2 linked regions of the Daphnia pulex genome follow. The protein of the gene in region 2 interacts with the protein of the main gene of each other region in a pairwise test. Links are inferred from orthologs where the notes say so. Each region holds a gene or a part of one and is shown on either strand. Other genes may lie near its edges.

Region 1 (6,292 bases), on a different chromosome or scaffold from region 2:
TGTGGGAATTTTGTTAACCTCCCAAGGGAAAAACTACCTTAAATCGGGTAAAAATGTGTATATTTGCATTTTTTTTTAGCTCCACGACATGCGATTTAATCTATTAATCAAGCCTTTCTTTTACTGAATTTTAAATAATGGCTCGAACCGGTATTGTTGTCACCGCGTAATCTCGTTTTCCACTCTGTCTGGTGCAGTTCTCCTATGACTATATAAGTCGTGATTTCGGTGGTGAGAAAATTTGGCAAACGTTCACAAAGAAATGAACCAACATGGAAAAGTTGAGAGACTTGATTAAGAAGAAGTATCGAATTAACCGGTTACGAAAGTATTTGCAAAGAGCTGGAGGGGTACATCAACAACTTTGATAAACGCAAAAGAACTGAGGGGTAGAAATCGAGGTAATTTTAAATTAACAAACAACATTTTGAAACCTATAATTATGCTCTAAAACAAATTAAGACAATGATTGACATTTTAAATAAATAAAAATAGATTGAAGATGTGTTACAAAATTCGAGATAGTTTAGCCGTTTCAGCAGGTAGCTACTCAAGCCGTACGTAGGTACGAGCACTTTTAGATTGGAGAAATCGTCCTCGTGAAGAGAAACTGAATTCAAGGTAAACTTACCTTGTGTATATTGCTTGAAATTATTCATTACTTGGAGTATAGGTAATTAGACGACCTTGGCAACAACCTTGATTCAGGAAGATCACAACAGTATGAAGGTGCAGTGAAAGTCAAATCGGATTTTAATTGGGATTATCGACATTGTTGTGCTGCACGTGTGCTGCCGGAGAACACCTTTCGGGCAAGACGCAAGAAGTTGTGCGTGTTGGGAAAAGAAATAGGTAGCTACTTATCGTCAAAATCCTAGGGATTATTCTTGGTTTCAGAGTATATAATATTTGGTGGGGCGTTGGCATATGGATTGCTCTAGGCTTATTAAGAATTGCGCATTTGGTAACTTGTGTATGACCTTAATAATAATTAGAGTTGAAGAACCAGTTTTTTTTAACACTATGTCACAATTTTATTTTTAAATTTCAGAATGATATAAGCGTTCCAGAAATATTTTATTATCATGTTAAATTTTATCTCGAATTATTTTTAGCGGTGAAGTGAATGTTACCCCAACTCTGTATGTAAATTTGTAAAATAAAAAGAGAGAGGGAGAAAAAAAAGATATTGGTTTTGAGTGGTTTTGAGAAACGAGGTTAAAAAAAGAGAGGTGATCTGAATCCAGATTGACAGATGATCGAATTTCGACTTTTTCTTTATTGGTTGGCGTGTATCGATTATTGAGTAAAATTTTAGCTATCGATAGTGCTAAGTGCATACATCAATTTCTTCCGGGCGTCGTTTTTCTAGGTTACTGTTTAGTCTAATCCTTCACTCTTTCTTCAATTTCTGTTTTCGTTTTCTCAATCTCCGGCGATTTCAGTCAAGGTTATTTTATTTAATTAATCGAATTCGAATCAAAAGTTGGGTTATTTTCAGGAGAAATTCGTAAGAACTAAAAGGTTCAATCACGTTCTGAACATACGGCAAAATTTTGATACACCGCCAGAATGTTCTATCATGTAAACTACTTCATAATATTTTGATCTGGTTTCGACGTTCAATTAAGTTTGAATTGTTGATTTTCGCAGATTGCTTTGGAACACGAAATTCTTTTGCATCCTCGATATTTCGGACCACAATTGATGGAAACTGTAAAACAAAAGCTTTTTACAGAAGTTGAAGGCACTTGCACTGGAAAGTAATTCTTCGTTTTGATGTAATATGATCATATGAAACTAGGCATTGTGAACTTTTGTTTTTGATAAACTAGGTATGGATTTGTCATAGCAGTGACCACTATCGACAACATTGGTGCTGGTATCATTCAGCCTGGGCAAGGGTTTGTTGTTTACCCTGTCAAGTACAAGGCAATTGTCTTTCGACCATTCAAAGGGCAGGTTTTGGATGCAGTTGTAACACAAGTCAATAAGGCAAGAAATCTTATTTTCATTTTTTGTTAACTTCTCTGAAGCAACTGATTTTTTATTTCTGTATGCAGGTTGGGCTTTTCACAGAAATTGGGCCTCTTTCATGTTTCATATCCAGACACGTATGTGTATTTTCAGAAAAATGTTAAATTTCTCTCCAAATAACTAACTATTCATTTCACTTTAGTCGATTCCGTCGGACATGCAGTTCGACCCCAATTCAACCCCACCTTGCTACAAAACCCAGGATGAAGATGTTGTTATTCAACAGGACGATGAAATCCGCATAAAAATTGTCGGTTTGAGAGTGGATGCCACCGATATTGTAAGTGATATTCGTAGACAGAAAGTCAGTTGTGTACTAAACATTTACACGTTCTTTTTAGTTTGCTATTGGAACACTTATGGACGACTACTTGGGTTTGGTCAGCTAAATTATTTGGATTCAATGTTTGTATTGTCACTGTGTTATTCGAACTTTCGAAGGTTAACGTATGGAGTTGAAATTAAACGAGAAAAGGAATGTAACATTAGTCAATTTTATAGTGCAAAGAAAATCTGGGTATTGCTGTTTGTTGCAATCATTCTTTCGGACGTCGAAATAGTAGGACATGCGGCTCTGAAAAGAAAACAAATATCAGTTAAAATCATTATTCTAAACAGAATAACTACGACAGTATAAAAACATTTGTGAATGTAATGATAATAAGGACGGAGCTACCTTTCGACACGAAGAAAATTTGAAAGCATACGGTTATGATGTGAAAAACGTTCCCTATCTAATCAAAAAAGCATAAGCTTTCCGCAAGGACGACGACGAAAATTTATCTGATCTCGAAAACTGCAGTTCAAAGAAAATGAATCGGCTCCTACCGCAAGAATATTTTTTTTAAATGCGCTCATAAATTACAAGACACCAGGTTGTCAGATCCGGAAGAAATTCCAGAATTTAAGAGATGTGATATGATGAAAATTTCTCAAGGCTACACAGAATAAAAAGCTTGCAGAATAAAACTTTTCAGCTACTAACTCTTTAAGAAATTCTCTCTCCTCACCTGACAGTTATTTTGATAATCTCTCTGATATATAACTATGAATGACCACTGCTAGGAAATCCCATCCTACATATATTAAAAACACAGGTAACACAGAAATGATTTTTTAAACTAAAGATATTCCCAAGAAAGAAAAGGCTTTGAAAGAAAAATAATCATTATTCTTATTGTGCTTTGACAGAGTTTGGCGAATCAAGAACTGGGTCTACAAGTTTTGATGACTATTGCAAAACAAGGTGAATCACTGATCTAGCTGAAATTTAAAACAAAGTTGAACAGCAGCAATCATATCACAACAATCAGGTGATGATTGGCATTTGACATGTGACTTAATGTTCACCTAGTCTATAAATGTAATGGTATTTGACTGATTTAAACCTGGATTGTGGACCATGTAATGTACCCAGCCGGGACTCTGTTGAACTCCCAAATTTCTCCATTCCGTTTCGGTCATCAAATGTGTTCGTGGAACCAACTTCGCCATTTCTGGCGGCAAAATTACATGTCTGTACGAAAATAATTGTGTTACTTTAAACATGAGTATCTACATCAATAATGCATTAACAAGTATAACTTGACTACCTGTATTCAAAATTTTCATCGGTGTATTTATCAGAATATTGTATCTCCGTATTAGGTGGCATGTTGTTGAATTGTTTGATTCGTGAATTGAACTGCATTAAGATTCTCGTGCCATCTTGTAACGTAAAGACATACTTGGCAACTTGGTAATGAAAAGAGGCAGCCCTGACAATATTTTATTATGTTTTAAAAATTATGTGCGATATGAATTTTTTAAAAAATAAAAAATTTAATGATATAAAATCTTTCCAAAATATGATATAACGCTATGTTTGCATACACTGACATCAAATTCACTAGATAAAAGGTGTAGTTTAATAGGTGTGGCAATGAAGCTTCTTGATTCAAAACTTTAACAAGTAAAAGAGTCTGCTTACTTAGATATCATCATCATCAGCTCATTTACAAATTTTACGAAGGTGGAATAAAGTCTGATTAGCCATACACTTTTTTTTATTGCATATTGAAAGGCAATTAACTTATGCTTTTGTCGGGTTAACCGAAAGGCTTCATCACAATTCTTCGCTTTTTTTTTATTTATTACTTTTTAACTTCTTGTCCAGACAAGAACAGTCTCTTACATCGACAAACGTTATTGTCTTGATTTAGAAGCTAGAAGTGCCTGATGCTGTAGAATAGAAACTGCATCAATCCAGCAAGAAATAATGAACAAAGGTACCTTTTTTAAAAATTTTTAAATGCATGCTTATCCATTTGCAATCACCAGTTCGTCTTGCTGATTTTGTCATCAAAAGATTTAAACACACTTTATTTGGGTCCCCCGCTTATTTTAACAAATATCATTCATGAGTAGCACACGAGAGTACACTTACATTTAATTATAGGCTTTAAAATTATCTCCCTAGCATTATCGTGTTGGTGCAAATCATTTTGCAATGTTATACGACTTATACCATACAAAATCTTTTTAATAGCCATATAATACTATTTACACATACTCAGTTATCCTTTCCTGACGTATTCTAAGTAATAACATATTTCATTGTTCAGCTTATTTTAAACAATGAAAATTATTTTATTGTTATTTAATCGTATTCATTTTTTGTTTTTTTTTGTTATTTTCTAGAAATTGTGTCAAAGATTCCTGGGGCTGTTCTTCGAAGAATAGGTTCCAATGATATAAATGCAAGTTACAAGTGCATCCAACTGGGCTGTAATGAGGTAAGTTTAGTGGAAAAAATGTATTTCTGTTTGTTATTTTACCCTCTAATTTGCTTAGGTTTCCATTGGGCGGTCTAAGGAAAATACTTTCACTATTGCTGATCTTCTAGTTTCTCGTAAACACGCCGTTTTCCGACTGATAAAAGATCAATGGACCATCGAAAACGTGGTAAGTCTTTATTTTATACAGCGTAATGGCTTGCAAAATCTAATTATTTTTTTTTGTAAGGGTATGAATGGTGTTGCTGTGAATCACGTTGCATTACCAAAGCATCAACAAATACCTATTCAAAACATGGATATTATCGAATTTGGTGCCGGTAATAAGTATGTGTATGCTTTCCGTGTTCAGTCTGATTCATCCGAAGTAGGCGAAGAGCCAGTTGCAAAGAAGATGCGAATTCCGCTCGCCAATCGAAATTATCCGTCATTGAAAGATTCCCCAGAAGCTTTTCACAATTGGGTCCGTTCTAAGAAAAACCTCGAAAAGACACTTGAAGAAGAAAGTGACAACTTGGATGTAAAACTGGAGCAACAGAAAACACTCAAAGATAAACTGGTGCTGGAGCAGGAGAAACTCAACCAACACTTTGAAACTGCTAAGGTACAACTTGAATTGAAGTTCGCTGAAGAAAAAAAAGAATTGGAAGAAAAAGTCGCACGCGGAGAACTGGAAAAAAATGAATTACAGCGACAAAAAGAGGATGTTGAACAACGGATGTCAGTTAGCTTGCAAGAATTTCGGGTAATCTCACTAATAGACTGGCCGTATATGCTAATGCCGCTATACTAAAATGTTATGTTATTATTGTAGGATGAATGCGAAAAGAAAAAACTTGAATTCGAAGAAAGTGTCGCACGTGCCAACTTGGAGAAGCAGAAACTCATTGAGCAGAAAGAATTAGTTGTACAGCAACTCATACGGGAAAAAAACGTCTTACAAGTAACTATTTAAATAATTATTTATAAATATTTGTTTATCTTTTTTTTTTTTCCCAGGAGCGCCTGGAAGAAGAGAGTCGCCTCAAAGAAGAAACTATGAATGAGCTGGCCCATATTAAGCGATCTCATCAATCGTTGGAACAAGAGTTGGAGGAAGCACGACGTAAAATTGAAGAAGAAGCGAAGCAATTTCAACGAAAAGGCAGTGAGGACGAATTGAGACTTCGTCAGATGCAAGAAGAACTGGCTGAACGTGAAGCACGATTGAATGCTCAAGAAAAACAAATTGCAGAAATTCAGGTATATTTATAGATATACTATACGTATAGTTAAGAGCTTTAGCATAGAAAGTTTTAGAGTCGTGCCGCCATCGGCCTTGAGATGTACGAAACAATTCAACTCCTTCACCAAGGACAAGAAATTCAAAATGCAGGAAACATTGTGGTTGTCATGGATGATGGTATATCAAATTTATACCGTACTTAAGCAAATTATTTGATTGTTTACCGATTGCACCAATTAGGAGGAGCAATTAATCA
Region 2 (6,486 bases):
CCATCAGCTACAAAGACTGGTTCATCTGTTCCAATTTCATATACTCCACCTCTCACCATAACCATTCCTTCATGAGTATTTGCAGCACAGGAACCTTCAGAAAGATTTTCTGGTTCTTTTACTGATGGCTGAGATTTCCCATGAAAGCAGTCACCATTGGCAAAGCTAAGATTGATGTCTGAAACCAATATGAAAATCCAGAAAATTTCCAAAAATGAACTTTGCATTCTCCAAATTTCATCCTATAGTGGTCAATAAAAGAAGAAACACAAATAAAATTGAAATTTCAAGACTAAAGATGGTTTCAAGCCAATCATAATTTTACTATTTTAAATCAGACAAAAAATTGACAGCTACCCAAAGCTCGTAACCTATATGTTCAGAAAAATGGATACTATTCTTACATATATCTATAGAGTAGCTATAATTTTGAATCTAATAATTACGAATACAATACAGAAGAAGATTGATTATAGCATACACAACGACGACTTTGTTGTCTATGATTATAGCGTTCGTGATAAAATTCGAACCTCATGTCACGCATGGATGTTAAATGGGTTAAAGCAACCGTAAGAAACCTCAATTTCACAGTTGCATAACCTTGAATGTGTACTCAAGTGTACGCTAGAGGGCATCAGAAAACCTTTTTTGTCAACAAATGAAGTAGTGACTTTCCTGTTTCTTCTACTCTGATGCTTCGAATTATTTTTATTGGATTACTGTGATAATAATGGATCGTTCTGGGGTTACTTCTGGTAAAAAATTTCATAATTTTTGCCCAAATTATACTGAACTCTTTATTTTTATTAGCCAACAGTTACCTCAGAGGGGTCTCTGTAAAGATTAGCGAAAAGTACCGACCTCCTCGTAGACCCACACTTCCGCCTGGATTATGCTTCGAACCTTCTCCTCATTTATTTTCTGATAATGTATGAATTGATCCAATTTAAAAAATGATCAAAGATCACCTTATGTGTTGTTCTTTAGATTGACCTCATTGATGAAGTAAGTGCATTGAAGCTGATAGCCTCAATGAGAGATCTACATACACAGGAGACTACAAGAAGAAAGCAAAGTGTATCTGCATTTTTAGAGAGTCAAGCTGCTGTCGATGAGAAGGAAATTGAAGAGATCACTTCAGACCTTTCCTTGAACAGTCTTACTAACAACATTCCCTCACTAAGTGTTCTCAACTTGCAAGCAAGGAATGGGCAATTGCTACAACATACTCAGGCTTCCATGGAAGTCCTTACTCCAATTCAAAGCTCGACTGTGGAAATCAAGAAGAAAGAAAACATGTCTGCTATCAATCTAGCTGAATTTGAGAGTTATTCAACAAATCCTTTTGAGGAAATGGAATTAAAGACCTTGAATGACAAAGAAGAATTAGCCATGTTGCTCCAACCCAGCCCTCAGCCATCTTATGGACTACAGTATCAGAACTATAACCCATCAACAATTCCATCTTGGACTGAAAATGTACATATTATTTTATATTATTTTTCTTATTTTAGTTTTTATTTTTCACTAAAGAAAATAAAATATAATTTTTATTTTAGAGACATCAACCTGTGCGTCAATATGAAGCTGCAGCAAATTGGATTCCCAATGAAAGTTCATTCTTTAGTGTTGACAAGCTATCTCATGGGAACATCGCTATACCTGTAGAATTCCAAAATCAAGCAATCTCACATAAAAACTTACGTCAAGCTAAAAGTGTCCCAGACCTCTCTGACGTAAGTTTTGGGACGGGAGAAACCCCTATAAATAAACCGCCATTTACAGGTGTGACGGACAAAAGACTCAGTTCTCGCACTCCCCCTCCTCGTTTAACATCAGATTCTATAAAAAGACCAGTGCCTAAACCAAACTTTGATGTTGCATCTCCGTATGAAAGGAAACTGAACGCAATCGAAAAACGTTTAGTCCAGCAGCTACAAGATATGGGATTTGTGAGAGAAAATGCAGTTCGTGCTATTGCTCGACTTGGTGCCAACGAAAAGGATGTTGTTGATCAGCTTTTACTAATACAGAAACTGGAAGAATCGGGCCATTCCATTGAGAGAATAGAAACGGCTTTAGACGTTCTTAAGCCCTGTAAGGAATTACCAACGCAATTAGAACATCATTTAGTGTTAGTTGATCAGTTGTCTGCTTTAGGATTTGAACACGGTAAGATTAGCTCTGCGCTTGTTGCTGCTGGACACGATCGCGATAAAGCCTTGGATATTCTTTTGTTAAAGTAAATTACATTAAAATCATACGATGTTTATTTAGTTTTTTTTTTTCGTGTTCTTATGTCCTCAAGTCAATCAATATTTTTTTGTTCTTCGATAAGTATAAAAATCCAAATGTCAACGATTCTGTACTTAGTCTTCACCTTTTTTCTGCTGGAATAAATTGACATATGACATTATTCAACCTAATCAAATTGTCAAAGTGTGGTTAATAAAACACCAACCAAACAAATACTTTTGCGCGAAACGACTCGGGGTTTGGTTAATGAATAAATATACACGTTGGCGACATCGATGTCATTGCATAAATTAAAAGTTATTGATTCCGTAGCTATAGACATCTGTGATCATTCTGTCGGTTCACTCAGTTGTATTTGTATTGAATCTTTTTTGAAATTCGCTTCCTCCCTGGTCCCTTAAACTGGTTCCTGGATCCTAAGCAGAAGTAATTAGAATATTTCTATTACTCATTAGTCATTACTCTGTTCAAAGTTTCCTAAGTAACTTAATGTTAAAGTTTTAATAATATTCTTAATGTTAAAGTTATAATAATCAGTTAAAATATTCTACAAACAGGCATCATCGCATTGACACAGGCAAATTTGAATTCCCGCCGTCTTTGCCATACTTATTTTTTTCTAAATTGAATATTTTTCTTTCCTTACTAAATAATTTCGTTACTTTAGTATTAAAAGTAACTTTGGTTAAAATCTGTGGTAAATTTTAAGATTTTTGCTTACATTATTTTTTAAATTTCCGAAATGAATTGTTGAACGGTCAACATCGGATTCCACAGACAGTGTCTTTTTAGCGCGCGACGTGACGAGTTTGGACGTTGCTGATTGTAGATTTTTCTTTTACACGTTTTCAATATAAACGCAGTAATTAGTTTGAAGTGCCTTTTGGTTAAACATTTCAGCTCAATAATTGTTTCCAGTACGCTTTTATGTACCAAAATTTTTATTAATTCTCTCCCTTTGTTGATTTCGTCGTTTGCCCCGTTGCTACAAAATATGGCTAAGTTAAATACCGGGTTTAAACGGTGGAGTCTTGATTGCCATGACGTATCGATAGAAGTCATGGAAGATCTAGGATTATCTGCAATGGACGATGATTCAAACTCCTGTAGCAATCCATCAGTAAAACAAGTAGTGATCTCCAATATTCCTGAACCTGCTGTAAAGCGAAAAGAATGTTCACCTTTTGCTGTCCCGTCAGCTGTAATGGATTTTTCTGAAGATGACCAATCTAGTGATAGCTTTTTATTGTCTAAACGAATGAGGATGGATGGTCCCCCAGGAATTGATGGATTCTCACGCCTCTCAGACGAAGTCATTCTCAGCATATTTAAATGGCTTCCAAAATCAACTATCGCCAAATGTGCTCAGGTGTCAAAGCGTTGGAAACGACTGTGTTATGATGAAGTTTTATGGAGGAGGTTGGACCTTAGTGGCACCTGCCTAAAACCTACGATTCTAGGTAGTGTTCTTTTAAGAGGAGCACACATCTTGAGGCTAGCTAAGACTGAGGTAATTAACTTTTGTTTGTTTCTTTGTTATCAACTACTAATATTTAATTTTTCTAAACAATGTACAGATTTGTGATCCAATATATCCAGTAAGTCCTCTACTTCAAGAATTTCCAAGGTATCGAAATTTGCAATTTTTGGATTTGAGCATGGCATCTATTTCAACACAAGGTAATCTCACCAAGTCATAATTTATAGGAATAAGGGTACAAATTTGGACATATTATGCAGGTTTATTTGATTTATTTGATACTTGTAAAAACCTGAAGAAACTTAGTATGGAACATTGTGTTGTTGATGAAAGAGCATGCAAGGCACTAAGTCAAAATGAGCAGCTTGAAGTGCTGAATATGTCCATGTGTTATGGTGTTGGAGTTAGTGAACTTAAATGGATTGTGAATGGATGTAAGAAACTTGACAGTTGGAATTTAGCTTGGACAGACTTGAATTCTGAAGCTCTTCAGTTGATTAGTACATCTGCACCAAAATCCTTAGAACGCATAAATATCAGTGGTTGTCGAACGACACTTAAAGACGAACGTAAGTTTGTAATGTTGACTGGAAATTTGTGATCATTAAAGTTGAATGCCGAATTTTATGTTAGATGTCCTGGCCTTGTGTCAACGTTGTCCAAAGCTGGTGGAATTAGACATAAGCGACTCCACAGCAGTGACATCAATTTGTGTCAGCTATATTCATGATAATTTAAAGCGACTGGAATATTTGGCGATGGCTCGATGTTACAACGTGCCTCTCTCCGTGTATTTGTAAGTAACATTGGCGTTAGAGAGCAAAATTTGAAAGATATTTTAATCATTTCTATTTCCTTTAGGGTGTTTCAAAAGAGTGGTCTTTTATACCTTGACATTTTTGGTTTATTGACGGAGACTATGCTTGGAACACTTCGCGCCAAACTTCCGAGTATAGAAATCAACAAGTTTTATTTCTCTAGTGTAGCAAGACCTACAGTCGGAATTCGACGTACCTCAATTTGGGGGATGAAAGTCAGAGAGTGAAAAATTCAAGTCATGTTTATTGCAAAAATTAGTAATACATATTGATGTATTCAAAACTGGTAAAACAATTTATTGGCATTCAGCGGACTTAAACTTTAATTTTTTCTAAAAATTCAAATACGCGTTCCTTGTATGACTCTTCCTTTAGTTTTCCTATGAGCACATGAAATGGCCTTGCGCCTCGTAAAAATTCCCCTAAGTTATGACTAGTGAAATTTATTCGATGGTCTGTGATACGATCTTGCGGGAAGTTGTAAGTCCGTATTTTTTCTGAGCGACCGCTAGATCCTACCTGCAGCTTACGACTTGACCGAGTAGTTGCCAACTGTTGGTCGATTTTCATTTGGAAAAGACGAGCTCTGATTTTATCCATTGCAACCTTACGATTCTGCATTTGCGATCTTTGTGTCTGACATTCCGCCTAATTAAAAATGTAAAACATTTAATTGTTGATGAGAAATACTTCAGTTAGTTCGGTAAACTTACCACTACACCTGAGGGTAAATGGACAATTCGCACTGCTGATTCAGTTGTATTTACATGTTGTCCACCTGCGCCGCTTGCTCTTTTTGTTTCGATTTTAAGATCCTTAAAAAAAAGAAGAAAAAAAATGTTAGTCATGCATTCAAGGAAACAGAATTAAGTATTAGTAAACTTACTTTCTGTTCAATGGTCACGGAAACTTCCGAAGGGCGGGGAAGGATGGCAACGGCTACCGTACTGGTATGAACACGTCCGGCCTTTTCAGTTTTGGGCACCCGCTGGACCCGGTGTACTCCACTTTCAAACTGCAGTCGATCATATGCGTCTGAGAAAAAAGTAGGTAGTTGTATCTAATATATTAAACTAAATTTTTGAAAAGACATACCTGAATTATTAATGCAAATTGCAGCATGCCTAATACCTTCTAAATCACTTTTTTCAATATCTGTTAATTCATAGTCCCATCCTTCACTTTCACAGTATGTGATGTACATTTGTAATATTTCATTGCAAAACAACATGGACTCTTGCCCACCAACTCCGGCAGAGAATTCCATGATTATTCCCTCAGTTTGATGATTATCTTCCTGCAAAATGAGTTCTAACACCTAAATCAATGAATGGGTTCTTATCAATCATTTAAACTTGATTACTCTGAATTTATACTTCATTTTGGATCTGGACTAGGATTTCCTTTAACTGTGAAAATTCTTCACTGACCATTTTTGCAAGGTCACCATTTTTATCATCTAAGATACACTATTTAATATAGATTTTTAAATAAATATAACTAGATACACCTACCATCTGCACTCAAAGCTTTAAGCTCTTGTAGATCATTTTCAGTCTGTAATAGTTTTTCCCCTAATCCAGCAAGTGATTGGATGCGTTGTTTGTTTACTACACCTATTCCAGACTTTGATTCAATGTTTTGAAATCCTGATTCATCAAACTTTTTCTTGATATTTAATAAGAAAATTCGAAGTCTCGGGTCAAATATATTTTCGAATGATACTTGATTGAGATTTAAACTCCTATGTGAAATGGTTTGATTCAAACAGCGAATGGATATTACATTATTAGCATAGCTTTTGGCGAAACACGGTCGTCGTAAGGCACTTAGAACTCGTACTATTTTACTGGAAATACCCCAAGTTACCATTTTTAATGACTAAACTTTGATGGTAATTTGAATATATTTTCAACGTCTTCAAAATCA

The links.
Region 1: the proteins of S-phase kinase-associated protein 2-like (region 2) and cyclin-dependent kinases regulatory subunit-like interact in a two-hybrid assay, tested with the Drosophila melanogaster proteins (2 studies listed by BioGRID). The link is inferred for Daphnia pulex from reciprocal best matches to the Drosophila melanogaster genes Skp2 and Cks85A.

Annotation. Positions count from the first base shown.
Region 1 is NC_060022.1:673,947-680,238, forward strand, and holds cyclin-dependent kinases regulatory subunit-like, read right to left. Parts: upstream 3,785-6,292; 5' UTR 3,728-3,784; coding exon 3,630-3,727; intron 3,554-3,629; coding exon 3,426-3,553; intron 2,612-3,425; coding exon 2,574-2,611; 3' UTR 2,428-2,573; downstream 1-2,427. Other genes in the region: DNA-directed RNA polymerase II subunit RPB7, read left to right, coding at 1,573-1,584, 1,654-1,763, 1,836-1,995, 2,064-2,114, 2,180-2,317, 2,379-2,426; E3 ubiquitin-protein ligase RNF8-like, read left to right, coding at 4,295-4,304, 4,717-4,811, 4,870-4,980, 5,041-5,556, 5,626-5,754, 5,811-6,053, 6,111-6,213, 6,277-6,292.
Region 2 is NC_060018.1:4,259,157-4,265,642, forward strand, and holds S-phase kinase-associated protein 2-like, read left to right. Parts: upstream 1-3,024; 5' UTR 3,025-3,253; coding exon 3,254-3,769; intron 3,770-3,836; coding exon 3,837-3,939; intron 3,940-3,999; coding exon 4,000-4,308; intron 4,309-4,372; coding exon 4,373-4,535; intron 4,536-4,600; coding exon 4,601-4,784; 3' UTR 4,785-4,840; downstream 4,841-6,486. Other genes in the region: peptide chain release factor 1-like, mitochondrial, read right to left, coding at 4,873-5,205, 5,271-5,372, 5,444-5,592, 5,653-5,875, 5,934-6,016, 6,072-6,429.